4 linked regions of the Elephas maximus indicus genome follow. The protein of the gene in region 1 purifies or fractionates together with the protein of each later gene. This does not show direct contact. Links are inferred from orthologs where the notes say so. Each region holds a gene or a part of one and is shown in the gene's direction. Other genes may lie near its edges.

Region 1 (6,874 bases):
GTGTAGAGTAACAAGCGGCAACTCTGAGTCCGCCTCCTTAGGTTGAGAACCTGGCTTTGCCACTTTCTGTGTGGCCCTGGGCACAGCTCTTGACCTTTCTGTACTTATTTCCTCATCTGTAAATTGTAATCCTCACACCAACCACATAGGCTTACTTGTTTAAATAAGATTAAACAAGTTATACTCAAAGCACTCAAAACAGTGCCTGACACTTAATAAGCCTTATCAAAGTGCTAGCTATTATAAATATATTATGTATAGCTATAACACATAAGGAAACCCTGGTGGCATAGTGGTTAAGTGCTACGGCTGCTAACTAAAGGGTCAGCAGTTTGAATCCACCAGGGGCTCCTTGGAAACTCTATGGGGCAGTTCTACTCTGTCCTATAGGGTCGCTATGAGTCAGAATCAACTCGACGGCACTGGATTTGGTTTTCGGTTTTATAACACATAAATATAATATGTATTTTTATTATTAGGAATTGGTTGACCTGCAACCATTTCAAGAGGTAGCATATGATCAGGAACCGATGGTACTGATGCAAGAGGTCCAAGCTGCACTAAAGGCACGGGCAAAATACAAGTCTCTAGGAATTGATGGAATAACAATTGAGATGTTTCAACAAACAGAGGCAGCTCTGGAAGTGCTCACTCGTCTACGCCAAGAAATTTGGAAGACAGTTACCTGGCCAACCCACCAGAAAAGATCCATATTTATGCCTATTCCCAGGAAAGGAAATTCAACCAAATGCAGAAATTATCGAACAATATCATTAATATCACACACAAGAAAAATTTTACTGAAGATCATTCAAAAGTGGCTGCAGCAGTATATCATCAGGAAACTGCCAGAAATTCAAGCTGGATTCAGAAAAGGATGTGGAATGAAGGATATCATTGTTGATGTCAGATGGATCCTGGCTGAAAGCAGAGAATACGAGAAGGATGTTTACTTGTATTTTATTGACTAATCAAAGGCATAGTGTGGATCATAACATCTGTGGATCATAACAAGTTATGGATAACATCGGGAAGAATGGGAATTCCAGAACACTTAACTGTGCTCATGAGGAATGTACACGTAGATCAAGAGGCAGTAGTTGGAACAGAACGAGGGGGCACTGCGTGGTTTAAAATCAGGAAAAGTGTGTGTCAGGGTTGTATCCTTTCACTATACCTATTCACTCTGTGGAAACCCTAGTGGCGTAGTGGTTAAGAGCTACACCATTAACCAAAACGTGGCAGTTCGAATTCACCAGGCACTCCTTGGAAACTCTACAGGACAATTCTACTCTGTCCCATAGGATTGCTATGAGTTGGAATCAACTTGACAGCAACAGGTTTGGTTTTTATTCATTCTGTATGCTGAGCAAATAATCCAAGTAGCTGGACTATATAAAGAGGAATGTGGCATCAGGACTGGAGGAAGACTCATTAACGACCTGTGTTATGCAGATGACACAATCTTGCTTGCCGAAAGTGAAGAGAACTTGAAGCATTTGGTGATGAAGACCAAAGATCACAGCTTTCAGTATGGATTATACCTCAACATAAAGAAAACAAAAATCCTCACAAATGGACCAATAAGCAGCATCACGATAAACAGAGAAAAGATTGATGTTGTCAAGGATTTCATTTTACTTGGATTTACAATCAACACCCATGGAAGTGGCAGTCAAGAAATCAAACAATGCATTGCTTTGGGCAAATCTGCTGCAAAAGATCTCTTTAAAGTGTTGAAAAGCAAACATGTCACATTGGAGATTAAGGGGCGCCTGACCCAAGCTATGATGTTTTTGATTGCCTCTTAGGCATGTGAAAGCCGGATGATGAATAAGGAAGACCGAAGAATTGACACCTTTTAATTGTGGTGTTAGCAAAGAATATTGAATATACCATGGACTGCCAAAAGAACAAATAAATCTGTCTTGGAAGAAGTACAACCAAAATGCTCCTTAGAAACAAAGAGAGCAAGGCTACGTCTCACATACTTTTGGACATATTATCGGGAGGGTTGATATCGGGAGGGTTGAGTCTCTGGAGAAGGATGTCATGGTTGGAAAAGTAGAGTGTCAGCGAAAAAGAGGAAGACCCTCCGTGAGGTGGGCTGACACAGTGGCTGCAACAATGGGCTCAAGCATAAGGATTGTGAGGATGATGCACGACCGGGCAGTGTTTCATTCTGTTGTACATAGGGTTGCTATGAGTCAGAACCTAACCAAAACAACAACAATCTATAGATATAACACATATCAGTATTAAATGCTAGCGTCATCTGTTTTTACACTAATGCATCTCCACTGCCTAGAACAGGGTCCACCAGGGCTCCCTTGTCTGGAACCCGGTAGGTGTTTAATGAATATTTGTTGAATGAATGAATCAATGATGGATTTCCCTTTGCCCTCACTTCAGAGTTTCATTACCCTTCCAAAGCGTGTGTGTGTGTGTGTGTTCAAGGCCCAAATCAGAGGTTTAATGGAAGTTTATGGGCAGGTTGGGTCGTACCCCTCATTGTTTCTCTAGAAAAACGCGTCCAACCTACAAAGTGACTTCTGGAGAAGTAAGTTGGGAAGGAAAATTTGCATGGCATGTTATCAGGAGTAACCTTTGTTTTATTCTAGAGTTAAAAGTTGCCTTCTCCAAGCAAGGCTTATTATAGAGTGGAAGTTGTGAGTTAATCTGAATTTCATTTTTTCTCTTTGCTCTCAAGGGAAGTGAACAGGCTTCTGAACACTCCAAAGTGTTCATGTAGCCAACAAAAGGAATGTTTTGCAGTCACACAGACCTGGATTCAAATGGCACCACTGACCTTTAGCTGCCCTACAATCATGGATTTACTTGGCCTGAGACTCACTTTTCTTACCTATAAAACGTAGGAAGCCTTGGTGGCATAGTGGTTAAGTACTATGGCTGCTAACCAAAGGGCCAGCGGTTCAAATCCACCAGGTGCTCCTTGGAAACTCTATGGGAGTGTCGGTATGAGTTGGAATCGACCGCACAAAATGGTGATGGGAACGCAGTTATTGCGCATTTTTAAACCACTTACGCCTTATAACAAATGTCATTTATTACTGGCATCTCTAAACTGGTGCCTTGGTGGGGATTCAGGAGAATAAAAGGTAGCTCCCAAGGTTCTCCGAAGTCCAGGGAGGTGTGGGCTTTCCCCTCCCACGGCTAATAAGGGGCAAAGCCTGAAGGTTTGGGCGAAACGCGCCTGGGCTAAATCTATGCTTCCTTTCAAATTAAATTAACCTCAAAATCTACACACCCTCGTAGGGACTGAGAATAGGCAGCCATGAAAAATGAAGTGAAAATTGAGGCAGTGAGAGAGTTCATGTGCGTCGGAAAAGGAGCGTTAGAGTCAGCGGGGGTGTGAGTGTGCAAGGGAGGTTGGCGGCGGGCGGCACAGTTCAGCTGGCGAAGCGGAAGGCAAGAACTCCCTGTCCTGAGTGAAAGCGAGGCCCAGTGAAAGCGGCCAGAGACGAGAATTTCGCTTCCCGCCCAGCAAATCCCGGCTTTGACTACCGCCGGCTCCCTGGGCCCTTCGCCCCGCCCCCAGCAGGTCATCGGACTCTACCATTATGCAATTACAGGGGTAGAGGAGAATCGTGGGGTAGCGCGTCAGAGAAAATTAGAGTGTTTTATAGGAAAGTATGATTATATATTATGATTATTAATATTCTAGGTTAATATGCTTCTTCCTGAGGCCTGAACTGTCTATACTTCTTGAAGCGTGGTAGAATCCAGCCCTGCTTCACTTTTTCTTTTTCCGCATTTGGTACAGTCCCCTGCTGTACGTAGGCGGGGGAGGCGTACATAAGCCTCGACGCAGGAGGCGGGGTTGCTCAGTCCTCGAGGCGTCGGTGTTCCGTGGTGGTGGAATCTTGTTGCTTGTCGGCTTGTGCGCGCGTGCGCGGACATGGCCTCAAACGGTATGTGTGTGGGCGCGAGGCGGCGGTGGCGCGCCAGCCCTAAGGCCTCGTTTCCTTGTAGCTGGGCTTTTGTTTTTCAGTGGGACCGGGGCGGCGACTGCGTGTGGAATCGTCTCCACGCACCCCTGGGGCGGGAAGCAGCGGAGAAGGGTGGGAGGGGGAGGCCGATGTCGCCATTTTGTTTCGTTCCTTCGGGGCCTGCGAGCGCGGGGTGGGTGGGTCGGTCTTCCTTTTACTTGAGGTGGCTGTGGGGGGAGGGTGAGGAACGTTTCTTGATGATTTGAAGCATGAGGTAAGGATGGAGACGGTCGGACCCAGGAGAGGCTTTTCCTTCGCTCCCAGCCCCGCGCTCTAGACCGCTTTGTCGCAGTGCTGCATCCGGGCACTCGGTGCGCGCACGCGCTCTGGCGGTCCCTCCCCTTAGCTGCGCGCACCCTTCTGCCGCCTCGTGCTAGCCCCGTTTTTTGTCGCGAGGCCCTCCGCTGGAGAGCCTGCGGCGTGCGTCCGGTGTGACACCGTCTCACCCCCGGGGTCCCTCGGGAAGGGGCGGGACTGCTCCGTTCCCGCCTTGGTTGCCACGCGGCTGGGGGCGGAGGCTCGGGATCAGGGCCACGCACTGGCCTAACGGTCTGGGGGCAACAGGAAGAGAGACCAGGGGATTTGGAGACCAGACCCGAGGATTTTCCCGCCTAAATTTTTTTTTTTTGAGATGGGAGCCGAAAGGCACGGCCGCTCGGGCCACACCCTCTTCCCTTTTGCCTTTCCCTTTGGGGGAAACGCCTCATTTCCTGTACGGATGTTCGTACCTCTTTTAATCTGGCGTTATAAAAGCGCTTTCGCTCCGTTCGGTTTGCCGAGTCTCCCCAAGGCTCCAAAGAAGGCAGGGTGGATGAGGAAAGAACTCTCAAGCTTCACAGGACTGGGGACTTGAGTACCATTTGCTTCCTGAGGCGAACTGATGGCTCTCCTGTTTGGGGCCAAGGGGGGGGCGGTTCTTTTGGTTGCCTGGGTTAGTGCCAAAAGCCCACGTTGGCCGATCTGTAAGATTGGACAGAAGTCGGAAAATGGACACTTGAGACAAGAATGTCTTTGGGTTGAAAGAATGGAGACAGCATTCCGAGCGTTCCTACCTCGGGCTTGAATTCAGCCCTGTCTCTGACGTAGGGCATGTTACTCTGTCTTTACTCTTGGTAGTGCTTTCCTTAAAGAGTGGTTGTGAAAACGCATGTAAAATGTTTTAGAGCTGTTCCTTTGCAGAAAATTGTAGCTGTTTTTCCCTTTGGTCACTGCAGAGATTTGCGTTTTCTTTGTATGGTTATCATTCTTTGCTGTAAGAAAATTTGACAAATCCGCCAGCTTGCCCCTCCTCTCAACTAGAGTCTCATGGGGTAATTTATGTTTTTGTAAGTCTTGCTTGTTGTTTTTTCTTGGAAATCCCAGTGATTGAGTTAAGGAGTTTTAGCTTTATCCTACTCTTTCAGGATTGGCTGAAGGTAATGTGATTTGTATTTTCTTTTTGCAGATTATACCCAACAAGCAACCCAAAGGTGAGTGTTGAGTCTCAGCTTCCAGGGTTTGTACAGGGCAGGGTGGCCAAGGAGTCTTTCTCTAATCTGGTTTTTTTTTTTTTTTTTTGACCAGCTACGGAGCCTATCCCACCCAACCTGGGCAGGGCTACTCCCAGCAGAGCAGTCAGCCCTACGGACAACAGAGTTACAGTGGTTACGGCCCTTCAGCGGACACTTCAGGTTATGGCCAGAGCAGCTATAGTTCTTCTTATGGACAGACTCAGAACAGTGAGTCTCTTTTAGTGGGCACTTGACCTATTCCTGCATTGAGTGTTGCTTTTCTTAAACCTGAACAGTGGGGAAATGTTGAAATTGTCCTTTTTTTTTGGCACATAGCCTGTCTATAAAATGTAGAACTTCTCTGGCCAGAGTCTTTTGTTTCAAACGGAAATACATGTTGGTTTGTAACTTTTTTTCCTGCCTTTGGCTTTTTATCTTTTTAATTTTTGCTGGACCTTTTCACATTTCCCCTTTGATTATGAAAGTGAAATGTGGGGAGGGTATTCCCTGAACAGAGGAACATTTTTTAGGCTTAGGTATGGTTTACTTAAAGATGTTTAAAGTCCTGTTACCGTACAACACGTGATACACTAGGAGGTTGAATTTGCCTTGAGGCCCAGAAGGGTAAGTAAATAAGGTGAGTGGTGTTGTATGTGCTGAACACATAACCAGCATGTTAAAATGCTATTAATAAATAGGATTTTTTGGGCTACAATTAGATGGTGGTCTTAGAGACTGTCTTTGGGTCTCTTTGAACTAAAGAGTTGATAGTAAGTTGAGGCAGTAGACTTCAGGTGGAAGAGAAGTGTAAATTTAAGGCTTTGAGTTACAAGATTCACTTGTACCTTCTAAGAGGCTGACTTTTCAAGTATGGGTGAGGATCAGTTAGTGTATTGGTTACGTAGCATTGCTGTAACAAATACCACAAGTAGTTGGGTTTAACAATCAGAAATTTACTTTTTCACAGTTTAGGAGGCTAGGAGTCTGAATTCAGGGCACCTGTTCTAAGGGAATGCTCTCTCTGTCCACTCTGGGGGAAGGTCCTTGTTTCTTTTCAGCTTCTATTCCTAGGTTTCTTGGCCATCATGTGGCTTGTATTGTCCCTGTCTCTACTTGCCTGCCGGGTTACTTGCTTAATCTGCTTGTTTTATATCTGAAAAGTGGTTTAAGACACACCCTAGACGGAATCTGACTCATTAACATAACAAAATCTATTCTGAAATGGGATTATAGCCATAGGGATCAAACCCACTGCCATCTAGTTGATTCTAACTCATAGGAACTCTATAGGACAGAGTAGAACTGCTCCGTAGGGTTTCCAGGGAGTGGCTGGTGGATTCAAACTGCAGACCTTTTGGTTAGCACCCAAGCTCT
Region 2 (6,860 bases), on another chromosome or scaffold:
TGGATAGACCAACCTTAGAGCTGAAGTATGGACAGTGACATGAACAGCACAACTGCATCAACGTGTTAAAATTTAAGCTCACGTGCCTCATATAACCTACATCGTAAAAAATTGAACCTTTAAAACATAGGCTTAAAGTTTAAACAATTTGATGAATTATGAAAAAGTCCTTCCAGGAAAAATTGTTAAACTGAATTTTACTTAATTTGCCAATGTTTTAGTTTCTTTCTACTTTCGAAGCAGCTGTCCTCCATTGTCTGAAATTCAGTGCTTCTTCAGATGAACGCAACATGAACAGCTGTGAGAATTTTTCTGTGTGGCACCTTTCAAAAAAAGCCTACAACACAAGAGTTTTCTATTACATTGTCCTTCTCACTGAAAATCTAATGACGACGATGATAGCCCACTAGTCAAGGTTCCAAAGTCGTAGAAAATTAAATGTTTCCAAAAATACATTGGTATCAGCTATAAAAAGGAATGAAGTACTGATACATGCCACAGCACTGACAAACCTAAAAACATCATGCAGAGTTAAAAGAAGCCAGACACAGAAGGGCACGTGTTATACAGTTCCGTGTATACGAAACGCCCGTAAGAAGCAAACCCCTAGACAGGAATGAGATTAGTGATTGCCTAAGACCGTCAGAGGCAACATGAGCAGTGACTGCTTAATGAGCACATGGTTTCTTCTGGACTGACGAAGGTGTGAAATTAGACAGGGGTGACGGTGGTACATCCTTGTAAATACGCTAACAACCACTGATGTGTGTGCTTCAAGTGAATTTTATGGTATGAAAAACGTATCTCACTTAATACAAATGCAAGTCACCCGACTGTACGTGTAAAAAGTGTTGAAATGGCAAATATTTTATTACTTACAAACTTAGTACAGAAGAAAAATATGGGGATAAAATACCAATGCAGTACAAATACCCCAACAACACATTTTGGACCTAGCAAAGCTGGATCCTATTCGATTTGGAAAAGGCCTTGATGGTGAAACGGTGAGGTGCTCAGATACTAACCAAAAGGTTGGCAGTTCAAACCTACCCAGTGGCTCTGTGGGGAAAAGACCTAGTGATCTGTTCCTGTAAAGATTCAAAAACCCATTGGCGTTCGGTTGATTCTGACTCATAGCAACTCTATAGGGCAGAGCAGATCTGTCCCATAGGGTTTCCAAGGAGCTCCTGGTGGATTCAAACGGCCAACATTTGGTTAGCAGCTGTAGCTCTTAACCACTACACCACCAGGGTTTCCCCTGTAAAGATTACAGCCTAGAAAATGCTACAGGACAGTTCTGCTCTGTCACATTGGTCGCCATGAGTCTGAATTGACTGGACGGCACCTAACAACGTTCAGTCTTGGGTTGTTGTCATTTTCCTTGGTTTGAAGCCTGTATTTTGAAGCAGAAAGGAAGCCCAGCAGGGGTATTTGGTTGGTCAGGTCAGCTGGGGCAGCTTGAAAAGTATGCCTTCCTCTGGTTCTTTTTAATCCCAACGCCAACAGCAATTGCTTACTGCCTGCGCTTATCTTGGCTCCTCCAGCACCCTTGACACGACTGTTTATTAGGTGACAAAGAGTAAGCCTGCTTCTTTGAGCAGGGCCACTAAGGGTTAAAGAGATCCTTCCCCACCGGGCAGAGAGAACTAGACGAGTGCTAACAACCAGTTCTCCAAATTCTCTAAAAAGAACGCTGGCAGTGCAATGGTTAAGCACTCAACTACTAACTGAAAGGTTCGAACCCACCCAGAAGCTCTGTGGGAGAAAGGCTGTTGTTGTTGGGTGCTGCTCAGTCAATCCCAACTCACAGTGATTCTACAGGACAAGATAGAACTGCCCCCATAGGGAGCAGATCACCAAGTCTTTTCTGCTGCAGAGCTACTGGTGGGTTTGAACTGCTGACCTTTTTGTTAGCAGCCAAGCACTTAACCATTGCAGCACCAAGGCTCCTTCTCCCTAGAAAACCCTATGGGGCACCCTAGTCTGTCCCATGGCATTGCTATGAGTTAAAATCTACTAAAGGGCACACAGCAAGTTCTCCAAACACTCAAGCATCAAACAACAATAAGTACAAATGGATACCTTTAACACATTTCTTTGTAGTCTTCTTGCTGGTGACGTCTAACTCTATGTCAAGTTCATCAGGATCTTGACCTTCTTCCTTAACTGCCTACTAGGAAAAAACAAAATTTACAACATTATCAAATGCTGCCTGGCACCGGCTGTTCTTCATAAGTAACAATCTCCCAGTAAACAAAAGCAATTCCTTCTTTGTAAAACTCAACTCTGCTTCTGCTATCTGGGACTGCAAGCCCAAAAGGCACAGGATGGACTCAGTACAACTTGGGTTCTCTCTGGGCCCAATGCCCAAAGTCAAAGGAAAGGCACACCGCAGGGGTCTGTGAGCCGGAGCTCCAGCAATGGGGTCAATGACCAGGTCTGAAATGGGCACTGCCCAACCTCCTAACTTTAAGTTAATGCTGAAACAAGTAACGGACAGGCTGAACTTGATCCTGCATGGGTGAAGGGCTGGGTGGTGTTCAACAGGCCATCTTTGACCTCTGGGGAAGAGCAAACTGCCAGGTTAGGTTGAAGGTTGGTGGTTTCACTCATGAGGTATTTCAGTGCCTTCCATGTCCTTGGCATAAGAGTGGTCACTCAAACGGGAACTGACAAGGTTTCTACCCTGAAGCTTGTTCTAATAGTGGAGAGAATCCCCACGTATATTGGTTTGTGCTAACAGACTGCACAGGATGATAAAGTGGAAGACGGGGAGATGGAGCAACACTTTCAACAGGGCAGTTAAGGAAGTGACATATCACACAGACCAGAAACGATAAGGGGAGGAACAGTCCAAGCTGAGGGCACAGCAAGTGCAAAGGTCCTGAGGCAGGAACGGGACCAGCCCGCTCTTCCTGTAAAATCTCAAAGACTCTTCACACTCCCTGTTAGGTCGGCGACCCCATGCTCCAGGGGAGGAAACTGAGACGCACGGAGAGAGAGCAAGGCACTTAGCCAAGGTCATAGAGTTGAGACTCAAAGCCGAGCCCCGGGAGGAGGCCAAAGGCCACCCGGGTGGCTAAAAAGTCCGGCTTTCAGAGCACTTGAGGCGAGGGGTTGAAGGAGGGAAGGGAGCAGGGCACAGCGTGGAGTGGTGACGGGCCAAGGTCACAAAATCGGGTCCCCGGGTCCCGGACAGCTCGAGCCGGGGTCCCTACGAGGGGGACGGGCAGGGACGCCCCGGGCCCGGGCTCCAGGCCAGCAAGGGGGCGTGCCTCGGCCCCCCACGCCACCCCGGGGCCCCAAGCATCACCTTTTTGAGCCGCTCCATCAGGGCGCTCTTGTTGCCGCCCGTGTCCAGGTTCCGTTTCTTCAACTCCGCCCGCAGATCGATCACACGCAGATCGCTGAGCCGCCGCGTCCCGGTCTCTGAGGCGCTCGAGTCGACAGCGGCCGTGTCAGAGCCCGAGTCGCCCGGCCCTGCTAGAGTCTCCGCCATCCTGGGCTTCCCGTCTCCGTCACCTACTTCCCACACCGCCGGCAGCTGTAGAGGCTCTGAACACAAAATGGCGCCGCCTTAGAGGAAAACGCACTCGCTTCCTCCCGCCCCGCTTTCCGGCGCGCATGCGCGCTGCCCCAACCAGCGTTCTTAACCTCCCGCGCGCTCGCGCGCCGACCAACCGCACGCTCCCCGCCACAACGCGCAAGCGCCGTAACTGCAGCACGCAAGTTTCTCGGCCATCCCCGGCGGGAGGCTGCTGGGGCGCAACGCGCCTGCGCGCACCCCCCGCCAAGGCTTTTACCGCGCATGTGCAGATGCGTCCCGAAGCGTCGTCCTCGCGCCGAGTGCGTCTGCGCAAAAGCGAGGCGCGCCGGGGCGGCTGGAGCGGTTCCCTCTCAGGCGGCGCCATTTTGTGCTAGAAGCCGAGATTCAACCGGCCCGGTTCTGTGTGAAGTGGGCGGCGGAGCCAGGGTCCCTGGAATGGCGGAGACTCTGTCAGGCCTAGGCGATTCGGGTGCGGTGGGCGCAGCTGCTCTGAGCTCCGCCTCGTCGGAGACCGGGACGCGCCGTCTCAGCGATCTGCGGGTGATCGACCTGCGGGCGGAGCTGAAGAAACGGAATCTGGACTCCAGCGGCAACAAGAGCGTTTTGATGGAGCGCCTGAAAAAGGTAGATCTTTGGGGGGTGGGGGTGAAAAGAGGGTTGAGGGTCCCCGCGGCCGCGACGGTTGTTTCCTCGCCCTCAGGTCCGCCCCCGGCCCCGTTTGAGGCCTGCCCGGCCTGGCGCGAGTCCCCGCGCATCGCGCCGCTCTCGGCTGCCCCCAGGCCCCAGCGGGAGCTTAAAGGCCGAGAGCGTGATTTCTGAGGCCAGCGGGGCCCGGGTTCAAATCCCAGCGCTGCATTGTGGCGGGGAAAAGAGGAGGGGAAAAAAAAAAAAGCAATGCGGACGGGGGAAACGGTCTCGGTCCGCAGCTCGTGGTGACGGGTGACATCGGCCACGGGCTTGTGTTTTCTGCATCAGCCACTACGTCGAGGGCTTTCCTCTCGTTGTCTCATCCTATCGTCTGTAACTAGACTTGGGAACCTGAAATGTTCACCTTAAGGGACTCGGCCAAGGTCACACGGCCAGGAAAGGGTGGCGTCGGGGTTTGAATCCAGGCCGGCTGGGCTCCTGAGCGCGTTTTTCTCTGGGAAGATCCTCCTCGACCGTTAGGGCCCAAAAGCCCGGGGTATGGGGGTCAGTTACAAAATAAACAAAGAGGAAAGCGTTTAACGATTTACCAGCACTAATCGGGAGGAAATGAGAGGATGATGGTATTTAGTTATTGTTAGGTGACGTGGGTTGATTGCGACTCACAGCTACCCCATGTGTTACAAAGTGGAACTGCCCCTATAGGGTTTTCTTGGGTGTACTTTTTATGGGAGCAGATCGCCAGGCCTTTCTTCTACAGAGTAGCCGGGTAGGTTGTAACTAAGCTTTTCAGTTAGGATATCTCGCTTAATCTGCGTGCCATCGAGGCTCTTAGTATTTACTCAAACCGATTACCGTCGAGTCGGTTCCAACTCATAGCGACCCTGTACAACGCAGTAGAACAGCCCCAAAGGGTTTCTAAGGAATGGCTGGTGGATTCAAACTGCTGGCTTCTTTGGTTAGCAGCTCAAGCTCTTAACCACCACTCCACGAGGCCTCTTTGGTGTTTACAGTAGCAAATAAATGTATAGTACAGTAAGGCTTAGAGAGGAGTGAAGGAGAGCTGCGGAGCTTCACCAAGAGACGAGTAGGGACTCAGGGTTCTGCCAGGCCTTAGTGGCCTAACCATGGGCAGGCAAGGCATTTAATCCCATCTGAACTTGCTTTTTCTGTGCAAAGAAGAGAATAATGGTGCTTTCGTTTTAGGATTAAATTGAAGAGCATCAAATGGGCTGGGCATATTGCCTGGCCCATCTAAATAAGTCATCGCTATTTTATCATAGCTCATAACCGGGTTATCATAGCTCGTAACCAAAAGGTTGGCAGTTCAGATCCACCAGGCGCTCCTTGTGTGGGGCAGTTCTCCTGTGTCCTGCAGGGTCGCTATAAGTCGGAATCAGCTCGAAGGTAGCGGGTTTATCGTAGTTCACTCTTTTGCCACCATTTTGTTACCTGCAAAACAGGGGCTCTAACCTGGCGCAGTACTGAGTGGTGTTTCATTCTGTTGCGCACGGAGTTCCTAGGAGTCAGAACTGACTCGACGGCACCTAGCAACAACCCCGTCTTGAGAATTTTATTCTGAGGGATCGATGTGAAAAGCACAATTAAGTAAGTTAGTGCGCTTTTAAGGAGCCTGGTGGTGCAACGGTTAAGCGTTTGGCCACTAACCCGAAAGTTGGAGGTTCAAACCCACCCAGCTATACTGCCAAGAAAACCCCCTGGGGCAGTTTTACTCTCTTGCGTGGGGTCACCATGAGTGTGAATAAACTCAACAACACCTAACAACAGTGCCCTCCTACTCTCCTTGCATTTTCCTCATTCTTTTTGACTTCCTTCTTTGCTTGCCCAGGCCTTGGTATCTCTCCAGGGTAATGTCTCAGCCTTGCCACCTACCCCCCAACCCTGTCCTGCAGACGGTGGGGCTGGTGACTCATTCCACCCTTCTGTCTCCCAAACAACCGAGAATCAGGATTTCATTATATATTGGTATTAAGAGGAAGTAGGAATTATTTCCCGTTTCCCTGATGAGGAAGATGAAGCTCACCAAATGAAAAACCAAACCCAGTGCCTTCGAGTTGATTCCGACTCATAGCATCCCTATAAAATGAAGCTCAGGAGGGGTTATTTGACTTGCCCAGGGTTATTTGGGCTTTTCTAATGGAAGCCTCTGTTCTTTTTACTATGAATACTGTCTCCTTTTAGGCAGGGCAAGGAAGTTCTCTGACCAAGATGTGACCAAGAGGGTGGGAAGACGTGGTCTATTTTTCTTACCGATAGCGGGGCTCCCGTCAGCAAAGCCTAATCGAGGGTTTTTACCCTGTCCTTCCCAGGCAGCACGTGAGCCTGTATATACTCTACAAAGCTGGTATGATGGTATTGAATCTTCTTGTCAGTTTGCTGGCTGAGAGACTGGCTGTCGCTCCAGGAATCCCCCATCAGTATCATCTCTGAGGGGACAGATTATCCCTCCTCCTCTCTCAAATACCATCAGCGTATACTCCCGTCTGCTCTCCCGGCCAAAAAGGATACCGCTGTTTTTCTCTCCTGCTTTTGTCATCCAGTTAATATCTCTCTTATTTCTCTAAGAAGGGCAAAGGAACAGGAGATGGAGGGAACACTAATTTTGCAAAGGTCTACTCATGAGTTCTGCTCCATCCTAAAGAGTCCC
Region 3 (7,837 bases), on another chromosome or scaffold:
CAAACTGGTACTCCATGACCCAGGGTCCCCAGACCCAGCCTCTTATAGAGCCTCCAGGATTCAAGCTCCCACCCCAACTCCAGAACTCAGCCCTCTCCCCCATGGTCTCAGACAAAGGCCCCTTCACAAATCAGAGCTCTAGACCCCAGCCCTCCAAACATGGGCCCTGGAACCCAGATCCCCTTAAATCTAGACTTCTCTCCAAAGACGTTTGGTCTTCTGTGGGTGCCTGAGAAGTCCTAAAAAGTGGGCTATACTCAGGTCTGATTCCTCTTCTGGCCCCATTCCAATCCCATCACTAGGGCTGGGGCTGTCTAAGCAGCAGGGCAGGGGTTGCTGGTTGGGGGTGGGGGTCCTAGCGTGCAGGAGCTCTGTGTCCACCGAGTGTCTTCTCATTTCATTTCAGCTCCATTTTACGGAGAGATGGGCAGAGGGGTGGCCATGGGGCTCCCCCCTCCAGATTCTGTAATAAAGCAGTGTGAGAAAGCTCCGGCCTCATGTGTTTGTCTGGGGGAAGGGGAGGGAAGGAAGCTTCCTTTGCGGACCAGGAGATGCTGAAGCTCTTCCTAGACCTCTTCTGTGCGGGGCTGAGAGGGAGGTGGCCTGGACTCAGGGTGGGAAGTCCCTCCCGAAGAAGGAATCCCGAAAGAAGGGTTCCCAGCCACAGCTACCATCCCTCTCAAGCTTAGCGGGCCTCCCTCCTGCTGGCACAGGGCTTTCTCCTCCTTGTGGGGAAAGGAGGGTCAGGGTGGGGGGGGCGGGAGTAGAAGTGGGGTTACCTCTGGTACAGATCGCCCCCACCCCTCACAGCCCTTCTCAAATCCTGCAGAGCACCTCGTCCGGATCCCCAGTCTGAGCCCAGACCCTCAGCCCGCTTTCCCCCTCTTCCCAGGGATTAGCGGGGGCGGCCCGGGATCCGCTCTCGCGGCCGCACGTTTTTTGCCAAAAAAGGCAAGGATGCAGCTGCACGCGCCGCGGGAACATCTGGATCCAATTCCCGGCATGAATGGGTCATGGCCCCGCCCCCTCCCCCGTGATTCACGGGCGGGGGCGTGAATGAGCGTGGAGGGCTAACCCCCGAAGTGGGGAGATGGGGCGGAGCGCTGCACCCCTCACCCAGCGTCCCACGCCGGGGCCCCCAGCCCCCTCGGCGGCCTGCGGTCTGGGCCGCCGCCATCTGACTGGTGGAGGCAGCTTTGCGCGCGCACGCGGCACGCGCGGGCTGATGCGCACACAGAGGACCGCCGGCAGCCGCCCCTCGGTGTGAGGGTGCGGGCGGACCGTGGGCGATCTGTGGGGTGGGGCTCACTCCTAGTCCGGCGGAAACCGCGCGATCAGATGTAGCTCACGTTAAACCTTCCCAGAAACCTGTGGGGCATTACTTCCATTTTACAGAGGAGAAGACCGAGACTCAGGCGGTTGCCCAAAGTCTTGTAGGTAGTCACTAATCCTGGATTCTAATCTGCATTACACTGCCTCCCGGGCCCAGTCCTAAACTATCTGAGGAAAGGGTTGGCATTTTCAACACACCATTCCCAGTGCCCAGTGCGCTTACCATGATTAATAATTGCATGTTTACGTTTTTGTTTCTCTCCTTGACCGTCAGAATTGGGCTGGGGCTTCCCTTGTTTCCCCTTCCATTCCCAGCTCCCGGCACTTACTACAAGTTCGGTGAGTATTTGTCGAGTAGGAGCAGTCCAAGCGTAGAAAACAGGTGGTGCAAAGGCCTGGAGGCCTGAAAACATATGGTGCTTTGGGGAAGCACCAAGTAATTTAATCTGGAAAAAGTGCCAGGAGACTAAAATGGCAGGCAAAGCCCAGGTCACGGAAAGCCAAGTGCCAAGTTAAACAGACCTCACCCTGCGGGTAAAGCAGCTAATGGAAATGTTCAAGCAGGGGCGTGAGATGATCGCAGTTTTGGAAAGATCACTTGGGCTGTGGCATGAATAATGGATTGGAGGAGTAAGATGAGCAAGCTGGTTAGGCGGGTGGTGCAGTGGTCCAGGTGAGAGAGGATGAGGCAGGTGGCAGGTGGCAGTAGGAGTGGAAAAGACAGGACTGATTTGATGGAGTGGGGATAGAAAAGGGGTTTAGGAGGAGGTAGGCATCAAGTTTGAGGCAAAGGGAAGGAATGAATGGCGGTGCTTAAATGTTCCACCCACCTAAGAGGAAGAGATACCCTGGTACGATACCACATTTCATTGATTTCAAGACATTTTCCAGGTTTAAGATCTCAGAATCCTGAGATGCATTTTATAATTGACAGTGTCAATTATAAAACTGGGTCATAATTTGACAGTTTTCCTTTCTTTTTGGAGCTTAAAATAATGGTAAGTTTTACATTTGATGGTATCTCTTATTGGATGAAATAGGACAGATCACCAACCTTACAAAAAATAATAATAATAAACACCCTGAGTTACTCCACTCCAGAATGGAGATTTCTCCCTTCTTTCCTAGGGGCCCAGGAAAAGCCCCAGAGGGCAGCTGTGCCTGGGGTCCCCCATTCTCAAACACTGGAGGTCTTGCTTATATTTTCAGATGCAAATATGATCCTCACAACACCCTCATGAGTAGGCAAGACAAGGGTCATTACCCCCATTTTATTTTTCAAACTTTAAAAACCAGAAGATAATTTTTTTTTTTTTTGCAAAAAGCAACGTGTATTCCTTGTAGAAAAATTGTTATTGTTCTGTGCCCTGAAGTCAATTCCAACTCATAAAAACCAGTCCAGTGCCTACCCTGTGCCTAGCAACCCTATATGACAGAGTAGAACTGCCCCATAGGGTTTCCTAGGCTGTAGTCTTTACGGGAGCAGATCACCAGGTCTTTTCTCCCACAAGCCGCTAGGGGGTTCAATCCACTGACCTTTTGGTTACCAACCAAGCTCTTAACCATTGCTCTGCTGGGGCTCCTTGTAGAAAAATTAGACACTACCAAAGAGTAAAGAGAACAAAAGGTAAAAAAATAACTCCTTGATGCATTACAGCTTTCTAGTCCTTTTTTGTTAAGCATATACATGCATATATATATTTTTTTAGTTTAAATTTATTTTTAAATTAAAAAAATAGTACATGAATACATTAAACAAAACTTTTCACACTGTATTTTGGGTATATACAAAGAAAAACTTTTCTCTCATACCACATGTGCCAGTCCATCTTCTGGAAAACAACCATTGTTTAGTGTTACTTGGATATTCTTACAGAAATCATCTCTGTATATCTTTTATACACACTGTTGAGCATCCACCTTTTTTGACTTTTCCTGGCCATCTTTTCACATGAGTTCACACTGATTTTTTGACAGCTTCATTGAAGTATAATTTACAAACCGTAACATTCACTCATTTTAAATGTATAATTCAATTATTTCTAGTATATTAATAGAGTTGTGGAACTATCACCACCATCCAATTTTAGAACCTTTCCATCACCCCAAAAAGATACTTGGTGTCTATTTGCAGTCACTTCCAGTCTTGCCTCCAACCCCTGGCAACCACTCATCTACTTTCTGTCTCCATGGATTTGCCTTTCTGAACATTTCATATAAATGGAATCATACACTATGTCATTTTAGTATCTAGGTTTTTTTTACTGGCTTTTTTTTTTTTTTTTTTTAACTGGCATTATGTTTTCAAGGTTCCTCCATATTGTAGCATTACGTGGATATGCCGAATTTGGTTTATACACTCACCAGTTTAGGTTGTGTCCAGTTTTTCTGTCAATTGTGAATTATAAACAGATGCCCATATAAGCACACAGCTGTAGGTCTTCATTTCTCTACCTAGAAATGAATATACAGATTTCTTCCCCCTTTTTTTTTCAATGATTGGATGTACTACACTTTATCAATCTAGTCCTCAACTGGAGCCCAGAAACCCTAGTGGTTAAGTGCTACAGCTGCTAATCAAAGGTTGGCAGTTTGAATCCACCAGGAGCTCCTTGGAAACTCCATGGGGCAGTTCTACTCTGTCCTACAGGGTCACTATGAGTCGGAATCAACTCCACCGCAATGGGTTTGGTTGTTTTTGTCTGCTGGAGCCCTGGTGGCATAGTAGTTAAGAGCTTGGCTGCTAAACAAAAGGTTAGCACTTGGAATCCACCAGCCGCTCCTTGGAATCCCTATGGAGCAGTTCTGTTCTTTCCTACAGGGTAGCTATGAGTCAAAATCAACTGGACAGCTAAGGGGTTTTTTGTTTGTTTGTTTTTAAGTCTGCTGCTGTGAACCCTGGTGGCAGAGTGGTAAGAGCCACGTGGGCTAAACAAAAAATTAGCAGTTCGAATCCACAAGTCACGCTTGAAAACACCATGAGATAGTTCTACTCTGTCCTATAGGGTCACAAAGAACCGGAATCAACTCCATGGCAACGAGTTTGGTTTTTGGTTTGGTTGGCACCCCGCTGAAAGGCAATTAAATTGTTTCCATTTGTAAGTTTCTACAAAAAAAAATCTGTTATTATCCCCATTTTACTGAAAAGGACATTGAGGTCCAGAAAAGAGGCAAATGTTGTCAGAGGTCACCCTGAAAGCTAGGGACTCAAGTTCTGATCCTCCAATTCCCATCGCGTGCTCCTCAACTGCTCCTGAATCCAGACAGGATCCCCAGCGGCCCAGACGGCCCCACGAAGCTCCGTGAAGCCCTAAGAAGCCAGCAGCTGAATTCAGGCTCTTGGATTTCCATTCGCCCACCAGAGGAATCTGCAAACCGCTCGGTAGCGGGCCACACACCCCGACCAGCAGGGGGCAATGCTGCCATCGCGATAGCACAGGCTGGCGCTCCTCGCGGTGCCCCTTTTCCTCGAGTCCCCAAGGCACTTCCGGCACTTACGGAACTCTAGTGCAGCCGGACGTGCCGCGTGGGGACGCAGGCGCTCAAGGCGGCGGGAGCTGCTTCTGGCCGCGTCGCTGATCTGAAGTGAGGTACAGCGGCCAAGGGAAAAATGGAGACAATTCTGGAGCAGCAGCGGCGATACCACGAGGAGAGGGAACGGCTCATGGACGTCATGGCCAAAGAGATGCTCACTAAGAAGTCCACGGTGAGTAGGGTCTGGGCCCCTTCCCCGGGTTTAGCCGCCGAGCGCGCTCTTTGGCCTCAGACCCGCCCTCCTCCTGCCCCCCACCCTCCCGGGGGCTCCCTCTCCGAGCTCCGGCCTCGGCAACCTCCTCCTCAGGCCCAGCGCCCCGGCGGCCTCTTCGCTTCTGCCGCTGAACCTGCGAAGGTAAGCTCCGCCCTCGGGCGGCCTTTCCACCCCCAGGCCTGGGACTAACGGCGTCTGTGTCACCGTTTGTCTGTCTTCAGCTCCGGGACCAGATCAATTCCGACCACCGCACACGGGCCATGGAAGATGTGAGTGCTCCGCTGTCCTTTGGTCGGGGGGCGGGAAAGGAGAGGAGCGGGGAGGCGGGCGGAGCACGGGGTCTCACCGGGAGCCCTGGCCAGAGCTCACCTGACTGGCCAGGGTTGTCCGCCTGCAGCCGAACCTGAGGCTCCTGAGCTGCTCCTCCTCACTTTCCTGAGTGGGGAGCGCTTCCTCTTCATTACTCGGAAAGTAATGCCTTCTGTGTCCCTTGGATGTGCGAAAAATAGTGAGGAGGACTCAGTGACTCAGACACAGAAGGTACTGTTGTGTCCCCGCAAAACGAGAATGCTGTGTTAGTGTTTCCCTTCCAGACCTCTCTTTTGAAATGTTTTTGTTTACCAAAGTGCTTTTGCCCAGTTAGATTTTCTTATTTGAAAAAAAGAAAACTAAAGTAAAATGTTGGTAATAAAGTTGGGTGATGGGTAAATGGAGATTCATTATACTACTTTTTCATGTATTTGAAATCTGCTCAGAAAGGATTAAAGGCCTAATTAGATTTTTTTTATTTGCAGGAGATAAACATTACTACCAGTCCTGTCCCTTATCTACATCCCCAAATCCAAAAACAGTTTGTAAATCGATAGGTTTTTTGGTGGCAAAACATAATGTGGCCTCATTTGGCAGCAAAACCTGCCCTGAGCAGATGAGAGGCTTTTTATGGTGTTTCTTATTCCACTTCGCCCTGGTGGCACAGTGTTTAAGCACTTGGCTGCAATTGGCATCCACCAGCTGCTCCTTGGTAACCCTATGGAGCAGTTCCACTCTATCCTATAAGGTGGCTCTGAGTCAGAATTGAGTCAACAGCAACAGGTTTTGTTTTTTTTTTTAGTTTATTATCCCACTTAAGGAGCCATGGTGGGGCAGGGGTTAAGCACTTGGCTGCTAAGAGAAAGGTGGGCCTGTTGACATGGCAATCACTTCTGCTTCCACAAAGATTACAGTTTTGGAAACCCTATGGGGCAGTTCTACTCTATTTTATAGGGTTGTTATGAGTCAGAATCTATTCCACGACAATGAATTTTATGTACTAATTAACCCAATTTGGTATCAATCCAAAGGTTTTAAGTTATGTAAAGATCTTGAAAATTATCTACAAGCCTATATACCACAAAACAATTACTGTTAAAATAAAATTTGTTTACATAGTTTAAATTTTTTTCCAAACTTTTCACCATTTTCCATATTTTTCAATCTAACTGTAGCCCTTTTAAGATTTCGTCAACTGGTTTTGGACCACCACAGGGATGGAACCATTTTTCCAAGCAATTTTGATGCATTTTTATTGTGATTTTTATGTTTTTACTTCTTAAAAATTTCTTTACAATAGAGAGGACTTGTTTATGGTTCTTACTAAGACAGCGTTTGTTTTATTTTAACCCAATCAATATCCGCCTTATTTATCCAGTTTTTAAATATCTCCGCCCTGTTGGGAAGAGTCTCTCAACTCTTTCTTTTGTCTTTACTAGTCTTTTGGTAATTGGCGTAGCCTTATTTCCTTAAATAAAACCTTTTCTTTAACAGATTTATAGAAAAACGCATCAAGTTTTAACTTTTATTTCCATCTGGGTTTGTCCCGTTGTTGTTGTTGTTAGGTGCCATTGAGACAGTTCCGACTCTTAGGGACCTTATGTACAACAGAATGAAACACTGCCCAGTCCTGGGCCATCCTCACAATCTTTGCTATGCTTGAGCCGGTTGTTGCAGCTTCTGTGTTAGTCCAACTCATGGAGGGTCTTCGTTTCTTCCACTGACCCTCTACATTATCAAGCATGATGTCCTTCTCCAGGGACTAATCCCTCCTGATTACACGTCCAAAATACATGAGATGAGTCTCGCCATCCTCACTTCTAAGGAACGTTCTGGCTGTATTTCTTCCAGGACAGACTTGTTTGTTCTTTTGGCAGCCCATGGTAAATTCAGTGTTCTTCGCCAACGGTGTAATTCAAAGGCATCAGTTCTTCAGTCTTGCTTATCTGTTGTTCAGCTTTCGCATGATATGACGTGATTGAAAATATAGTAATCCTCCCTTATCTGCAGGGAATACATTCCAAGATCCCCTGTGGATGCCTGAAACTGGGGATAGTACGGAACCCTATATATACTATTTTTGGTCCTATATATACGTACATAACTATGGTGAAGTTTAATTTATAAATCAGGTACAGTAAGAGATTAGCAACAATAATAAAATAGGATAATTACAATAATATAGTGTAATAAAAGTTATGTGAATGTGGTCCCTGGGCAGGACGGAGTGGGACGGCACAAAATTTCAGTATGCTACTCATATAACACTTTTGGACTGAGGTTGGCCTCAGGTAACTGAAACTGTAGGAAGTGAAACCTTGGGTAAGGAGGGGCCACTGTACCATGACTTGGGTCGGCACACCTTAGTCCTCAAGTGAAATCTTTGCTTTTTAACACTTTAAAGAGGTCTTTTGCAGCAGATTTGTCCTATGCTTCCCTTTGTCACAT
Region 4 (7,138 bases), on another chromosome or scaffold:
GAACATGCCCATCTCTCAGGGCCAGCGGACTAAAGGCTTGGCAAGCTCTAAGAGCGCCGTCTAAGGGTGGGAAACAAAACTGCTTTCAACTTCTTGGGCCCTTGACTGCCCAGATAGTTCAAAATACATAGCCACAGAGGGACTGACAAAGTGGGGAAGACTCAATGCCTGTTTTTGCTGTGAAAATTCCAAGTTGAGAAGATAATCAGGTGTAGGCTTCTCATTACAGTCCTAGTGCCCCCAAGACAACAACCAATGAAAAATGCCTGAACGACAACTGGGGACCTCTGAAGGCAGCTGGTCCTATCAATTCACCTGGTACAGCCCCAGTAGCTCCTGCAGGAGCCCCTCCTCCTGGGGCCCACCAGACTGCTCCTCCAGACGCTGCTCCTCCTGGCTGAGCCCCTCGGCCGTGGGTCTGGGGACGCTCGTGGCCTGAAGCTTCTGAAACAAGCCTCTGCAGCTCTCCCTCTCTGCATGACTCAGCAGGCTCAGGTTCAAGGTGAAGCGCCCAGTGCTGGTCAGGCTGTGCAGGATCCCAAGAATGGCCGCCCGGTCACCTGGCCTCATATGATCAGCCAGTGCCACCAGCAGCTCCCCTAGAAGTCCAAACCCCACATCCATCTGGAAGAGGCGGCCCAGCCTTGGGCCCCCGAGCTGCAGCAGGGCCTGGTAGCGCTCTGGCCCACTCCTCAAGTGTCGCCGCCAATCGCGGTAGAACTCTGCTGAGGTCTCGGGCTGGAAGAGTGTTTTCTCCTAGACCACAAAGGAAGAAGGAAAGGGAGACCAGAGCTCTTCCAGCTGCTCTGGGACAGTGAGGGCAGCCTGTGGGTTTTCGTCTTAGCTCTGGTACTGCTCTTTGAGCACTGCGAAGGCTGCAGTCCTGTGGGTCTCATTTTCAGATCAACTAAGCCATGACTTGAGATTCTCAGTTGTACCAGGGTAGTCTCTCTGATGAATGGGGACATATAGCCCTGGTCTACGAGAATAAGTCAGAGTTTACTCTGAGCAGGGTGAAGGGGATGATTGGAACTCAAGGTGAGTGTCAAGGATCTGACAGGCTGGGTCTCCCTTCAACACTGCCACAGAATCATTACACTATATACACCACAAGTCGGAGATGGAGAGACCCAAACCTGCTCTGGGAATGAAAGTCGAAGGGCTGGCTGAAGGGGGCCTGCCCAGCACATCTTTCTGACTTGATCTGCCCAGTTCAACTTGGCCTCAGCATTCACTGGCTGCTTTGCTTTCTGGGATCAGAGTCAGAAACCTGCCTCTGGTCGCTTAACATGAAAACAACAACAGTAAAAACAACTAAAAAAAAACGTGTTTGATTACATAGGTATATAAATACGCATAAATATGTACAGAAAGGCATATATGAGTAACTGTAGGCATATATGTGTATATATACATGTTCATGTGTGATGCATATATTTTCAAGTATAAAATAAAGCACATAGTAGATTGGACCATAAAATAAATAATATCACCTGTGAGTACTGTGTTCCTCAAAATAATCATCTAGATGAAACCAAATGGTTAACATTTGCCCTAGACCAAACATGAGAAGGCTAGGAGGGACAGGGAAGCTAGATTAATGGAAACAGAACAACCAAAATGGAAATAATGAGAATGCTGATATATTGTGAAAAATGTAACCAAACTCACTGAACAGTAAGTACATAAATTGTTAAATGAGAACCAAATTTCCTGTGTACACTTTCACTGAAAATACAATATTTAAAAAAATAATAATTATAAGGCAAAGGTATACGTTGTGAGAAGACAGGTTTGGGAGTTTAGGGCAGAGAACCTGCTGGGGAAAAAGGCTGGGCCTCACCTACCTGGAATATTTCAGTGCCCTCATCCTGGGAGGTGCTTTCCTGAGTAGTGTGACAGTTCCAGGGTGCAGTTCTCTTCCCTCCCATCTTGTCCTTCTGCTCCAGAGGTTTCAAATGTGAAGCAAGGACAATACCCCTGTGGGCAAAGAACAGAGACCGAGGGGGTGGACTTAGTGCTGTTACAAGTGGGTGCAAGGAGGCTGGACTTTGCAGCATACCAGCTGAATCTGTTAGCAGACAGTCATGGACGGAATTGTGTCCCCCCAAAATATGACTTGGAATCTTAACCCCTATACCTGTGAACATAATTCTGTTTGGAAATAGGATTTTCTTTGTCATGTTAATGAGGCTATACCAGTGTAGGGCATGTCCTAAACCTAATCACTTCTGAGTTATAAAAAGAGCAGATTAGACACAGAGGAAAACACATACCAAGGAAAGCAGATACCATGTGAGGATTGCCAAGGAAACAAGGAACACCGGGGCTATCAACAAGGAAGGAATCAACACAGCCCAGACCCTGATTTGGACTTTTAGCCTCCAGAACTGTGAGAAAATAAATGCCTGTTCATTAAAGCCACCTACTTGAGGTATTTGTGTTACAGCAGCACCAGGAAGCTAAGACACAGGTCAAAATGACAATAATAATAATAGTGACAATAGTTGACAGTTTTTGAGCACTTCCTCTCTGTTTAGAGTATTATGTGCAATAACTCATTTAATCGTAACAATTGTTCTTACTTTATAAATGAGGAATTGAGACTCAAAGAGGTTATGTAAACCTGCACAAAAGATCACCCAGCTAACAGGGGGTGAGGCCAGAACTGAAGCCCAGAACTGACTCCAGAGCCCTTCCCTTTATTCACTATAGTCCAGCGTAACAGGGAGCCAACCTGAACTCCTCATAAGATGCCACCCTCTGTTCCACTGCCCGTAACTTGGCAGCATTCTCCCGCTTGTACTTCTCATCAGCAGTAAGTGCAGCCTGCAGCTCTTTCTCCAAAGCCTTGAAGTCGATGATGTCATTCCTTTCCATGACCTGTGCCTGGGAAAGCAAAGGGAATGGACATGAGCATAGGGTCATCGTCAGGGGGGAAGAGGAAGCCTCTGGATTCTTTGCCAGCCCACAAAATGACCCAAAAGCACTCTGGGTATCTCGTTACTTAACTTATCTTGGTGAAGAGGATAGTGATACAGAAATCTAGTTTTTTACTTTACAGAGGGGAGCTGAGTTGCACAGTGGGGACTTGCACAAGACTTGTTGTCACCGAAAACAGAATTTGGAGCCCTGTGTTTTGTTTTCTGCCTCTAAAAATATTTTATTTTTTTTGCTTCCGCTGAGGCTTTTGGATCTCAGAATTTGGTTCCTTTACTTTATAGCAAGTTATTGGGATAAAAGACCTCACACAAAAGCTGAACTATTGTCAGGTACTATAGAGCTCTAGAATAAAATCTAACCCTGCATTAAACGTCTTTAATGGGGAAGGATACTTTTCACCCAAACCAGATGCAATGACTGAGCAGGAAATGAAGAAGTGGCAGAGGAAGGGGGTCAATGATCCCTATCCTCAAATCCCTCTGTTCAGCCCAGGGCTGGAGCACAGGTCCCCATGGACTCGGGCAATCTCTTTAGTCCTGCCACTATACTTCTGTAGCCTCTGCGTTATCTGCAGGCAGGTTATCTATATGGGTTCTAGTCTTTGACATTTATTTGCTGTAAAATCTCTCTTTAACCTCCTGGTGGATTAGGCTAGATTTTGTGGCGGAGTCATCATCAACAGCCTTCGAAAAGCAGGCGGCCCGCATCCAGCCCAATAGTCACCAACGCGGAGAAACCAACCAAGCGCCAACAAGGGCCAGAACTGAATTCCGGCGTCCCGGTTCCTGCTAGTTCTAAATCATCCCCAATAGCTGAACTGAGAGAGAAACTAACCCTTCCGCCTCCCTAATTCAGTCACCGGGAACTTCACCCCAGCAGCCCGGGTCTCGGATCCCTTGCTTTCTTTGGGGATCCCCTGAAACATCAGGGAAAGAGGGCGCTCAGCGCAATCTACTCCTAGCAGCTGTGGTTGCTCAGCAACTGCCACAACAGCCTGCCCACGTGATCTTCTCGAAGGCCCCTTTTCGGGGTGGCTCCGAGGTGCCTGATCAGATTCATGCCTCCTCGGGTCATACTTTCTTTGGGACAGCCGCGCCTTATTTTGGGGACCCACAACTCCATCTCGGGCCTTCCTGTCTCCATGGCTGGCACTCCTCCGAGCCGGTCCTCAGGCGGAGGGTTGTCCTTCGGGGCAGGAACGCCCCCGAGGCGTCTGCGGGGTCCTTCCTGACTGCGGGCGCAGGCGCGGCGCGGCGTGGGACAGAGCGCGGCCTTCGGCGGCAGACTTGGGGCTTCTGGCTGAGCGGGCGCGAGGTGAGCTGGCGCAGGTCAATGGCGTGGGGACGTTGCTCCGGGTGGGATGGGAAATTATAAACGTCATATATGGAAAAGACGTTATATGCTGTCTGTCCCCCTTTCGCTTGGAGAAATTGAGGCCTGGAGCGGAAAGGGGACCGATTCAAAGAACCCTTCTCTCTCTACTCCCCCCCACCCCAATTCTGGGGTTCCCTCCGTATCGTCCGTCCGTAAAATCTCGTAGGTAAGGCTTACGTTCTGTCTGGTTCCCTCTCTTTCTCTTCTATCTGGGTCGCCTTCGCCCCTTCCTTCTTTTGGGACTCTGCGTGATAGCGAGAAGCTACAGTCAGGACTGGCACCAAAAGTCACTAACTGGTTTTGTGCAACTGTTGGCCAGTCAGCTAGCTTCTCTGTGCCTTGGTGGAGTCATTCATTGATTCAGTAAGGATGTATTGTTTTGTTCTAAGCGAACAAAACAGTCCTTGCTAAAATTGTAGTTGGGGTGATGAAGAGAACAGTGAGGGTACCTAACAGTACAGTTAACTACCATTCAAAGACATAAATGTTGATGAAGGTGTAAAGGTCTATATAGAACGTTGCTGTTGTCAATCATCATCGAGTCGATTTCGACTTATAGTGACCCCATGTATGCAAAGTGGAGACCCTGGTGGCGTAGTGGTTAAGTGCTAGGGCTGCTGACCAAAAGGTTGGCAGTTCGAATCCACCAGGCATTCCTTGGAAACTCTATGGGGCAGTTCTACTGTGTCCTATAGGGTCGCTATGAGTCGGAATCAACTGGACGGCAACTGCTCCGTAGGATTTTCAAGGCTGTGACCTCTCAGGAGGAGATCACCAGGCCTGTCTATCATGGTGCCTCCGAGTGGGTTTGAATTGCCAGCCGTTAGGCCAGTAGGGGACAGTTAAACATTTGTGCCACCCAGGAACTCTTCTAAAGGTACTACAGATAATATAAACAAATAAGTCTGGTTGTGTTCCAGTACAGCTTTATTTTTATTTATGTATTGTTTGTTTTATTGTATTTTAGATGAAGGTTAACAGAACAAACTAATGGCTCATCATACAGTTAGTACACACATTGTTGTATGACATTGGTTAACAACCCCATGACATGTCAACACTCTCCTTTCTCAACTCGGTTGTTGTTTTTGTTGTTAGGTGCCGTCGAGTCGGTTCCGACTCATAGCGACCCTATGCACAACAGAACAAAACACTGCCCAGTCCTGAGCCATCCTTATAATCGTTGTTATGCATGAGCTCATTGTTGCAGCCACTGTGTCAGTCCACCTTGTTGAGGGTCTTTCTCTTTTCCGCTGACCCTGTACTTTGCCAAGGATGATGTCCTTCTCCAGGGACTGATCCCTCCTGACAACATCTCCAAAGTATGTAAGAAGACACAGTCTCCATCCTTGCTTCTAAGGAGCATTCTGGTTGTACTTCTTCCAAGACAGGTTTGTTCATTCTTTTGGCAGTCTATGGTATATTCAATATTCTTCGCCACCACCACAATTCAAAGGCATCAGTTCTTTTTCGGTCTTCTTATTCATTGTCCAGCTTTCACATGCATATGATGCAATTGAAAATACCATGGCTTGGGTCAGGCTCACCTTAGTCTTCAAGGTGACATCTTTACTTTTCAACACTTTATAAGGTCTCTTGCAGCAGATTTACCCAACACAATGGGTCGTTTGATTTCTTGACTGCTGCTTCCATGGCTGTTGATTGTGGATCCAAGTAAAATGAAATCCTTGACAACTTCAATCTTTTCTCCATTTATCGTGATGTTGCTCATTGGTCCAGTTGTGAGGATTTTTGTTTTCTTTATGTTGAGGTGCAATCCATACTGAAGACTGTGGTCTTTGATCTGCATTAGTAAGTAATTCAAGTCCTTTTCACCTTCAGCAAGCAAGGTTGTGTCATCTGCCTAACATAGGTTGTTAATGAGTGTTCCTCCAATCCTCATGCCCTGTTTTTCTTGGTATAGTCCAGCTTCTCCAATTATTTGCTCAGCATACAGATTGAATAGATATGGTGAAAGGATACAACCCTGATGCACACCTTTCCCGACTTTAAACCAATCGTTATCCCCTTGTTCTGTCCAAACAACTCCCTCTTGATCTATGTAAAGGTTCCTCATGAACACAATTAAGTGTTCTGGAATTCCCGTTCTTGGCAACGTTATCCGTAATTTGTTATGGTCCACACAATCGAATCCCTTTGCATAGTCAATAAAACACAGGTAAACATCATTCTGGTATTCTCTGCTTTCAGCCAGGATCCATCTGACATCAACAATGATATCCCTGTCCTCTTCTGAAACCCGCCTGAATATCTGGCAGTTCCCTGTCGATATACTGCTGCAGCCATTTTTGAATGATCTTCAGCAAATTTTGCTTGTGCATGATATTAATGATATTGTTCTATAATTTCTGCATTTGGTTGGATCACCTTTCTTGGGAATAGGAATAAATATGAATCTTTTCCAGTCAGTTGGCCAGGAAGCTGTCTTCCATATTTCTTGGCATAAGTGAGTGAGCACCTCCAGTGCTGCATCTGTTTGTTGAAACATCTCAATTGATATTCATCAGAATCAGAGGTTGATTTTGATTATAACGAATTGGGCAGAGAGTCCAAAAATCTTGATGAGGACTTCTTCCTTCAGTACCATCAGTTCCTGATCATATGCTACTTCTTGAAATGGTTGAACATTGAGTAATTCTTTTCGGTATAATGACTCTATGTATTCCTTCCATCTTCTTTTGATGCTTCCTGTGTCATTTAATATTTTCTCAACCCTGGGTTCCCTATTACTAGCTACAGCTTTATTTTTAGACACTGATATTGTTGAATTTTATGTAATTAATTTTCCTGTGTTGTGAAA

Evidence for each region.
Region 2: the proteins of FUS (region 1) and SAFB purify together in Homo sapiens (affinity purification with mass spectrometry; 3 studies listed by BioGRID and IntAct, with this or other methods). This does not show direct contact. The link is inferred for Elephas maximus indicus from reciprocal best matches to the Homo sapiens genes FUS and SAFB.
Region 3: the proteins of FUS (region 1) and SF3A3 purify together in Homo sapiens (affinity purification with mass spectrometry; 3 studies listed by BioGRID and IntAct, with this or other methods). This does not show direct contact. The link is inferred for Elephas maximus indicus from reciprocal best matches to the Homo sapiens genes FUS and SF3A3.
Region 4: the proteins of FUS (region 1) and EFTUD2 purify together in Homo sapiens (affinity purification with mass spectrometry; 3 studies listed by BioGRID and IntAct, with this or other methods). This does not show direct contact. The link is inferred for Elephas maximus indicus from reciprocal best matches to the Homo sapiens genes FUS and EFTUD2.

Annotation. Positions count from the first base shown.
Region 1 is NC_064830.1:90,408,118-90,414,991, forward strand, and holds the start of FUS (RNA-binding protein FUS), read left to right. Parts: upstream 1-3,853; 5' UTR 3,854-3,919; coding exon 3,920-3,932; intron 3,933-5,454; coding exon 5,455-5,479; intron 5,480-5,573; coding exon 5,574-5,728; intron 5,729-6,874. UniProt on the Homo sapiens protein: DNA/RNA-binding protein that plays a role in various cellular processes such as transcription regulation, RNA splicing, RNA transport, DNA repair and damage response. Binds to ssRNA containing the consensus sequence 5'-AGGUAA-3'.
Region 2 is NC_064821.1:8,789,645-8,796,504, forward strand, and holds the start of SAFB (scaffold attachment factor B1), read left to right. Parts: upstream 1-3,839; 5' UTR 3,840-3,982; coding exon 3,983-4,171; intron 4,172-6,860. Other genes in the region: SAFB2 (scaffold attachment factor B2), read right to left, coding at 2,083-2,170, 3,314-3,499. UniProt on the Homo sapiens protein: Binds to scaffold/matrix attachment region (S/MAR) DNA and forms a molecular assembly point to allow the formation of a 'transcriptosomal' complex (consisting of SR proteins and RNA polymerase II) coupling transcription and RNA processing.
Region 3 is NC_064821.1:79,567,011-79,574,847, reverse strand, and holds the start of SF3A3 (splicing factor 3A subunit 3), read left to right. Parts: upstream 1-4,828; 5' UTR 4,829-4,942; coding exon 4,943-5,038; intron 5,039-5,257; exon of another isoform or gene 5,258-5,301; coding exon 5,302-5,349; intron 5,350-7,837. UniProt on the Homo sapiens protein: Component of the 17S U2 SnRNP complex of the spliceosome, a large ribonucleoprotein complex that removes introns from transcribed pre-mRNAs.
Region 4 is NC_064837.1:51,315,694-51,322,831, reverse strand, and holds the start of EFTUD2 (116 kDa U5 small nuclear ribonucleoprotein component), read left to right. Parts: upstream 1-4,134; 5' UTR 4,135-4,257; intron 4,258-4,370; exon of another isoform or gene 4,371-4,483; intron 4,484-7,138. Other genes in the region: CCDC103 (coiled-coil domain-containing protein 103), read right to left, coding at 307-756, 1,848-1,980, 2,738-2,880. UniProt on the Homo sapiens protein: Required for pre-mRNA splicing as component of the spliceosome, including pre-catalytic, catalytic and post-catalytic spliceosomal complexes. Component of the U5 snRNP and the U4/U6-U5 tri-snRNP complex, a building block of the spliceosome.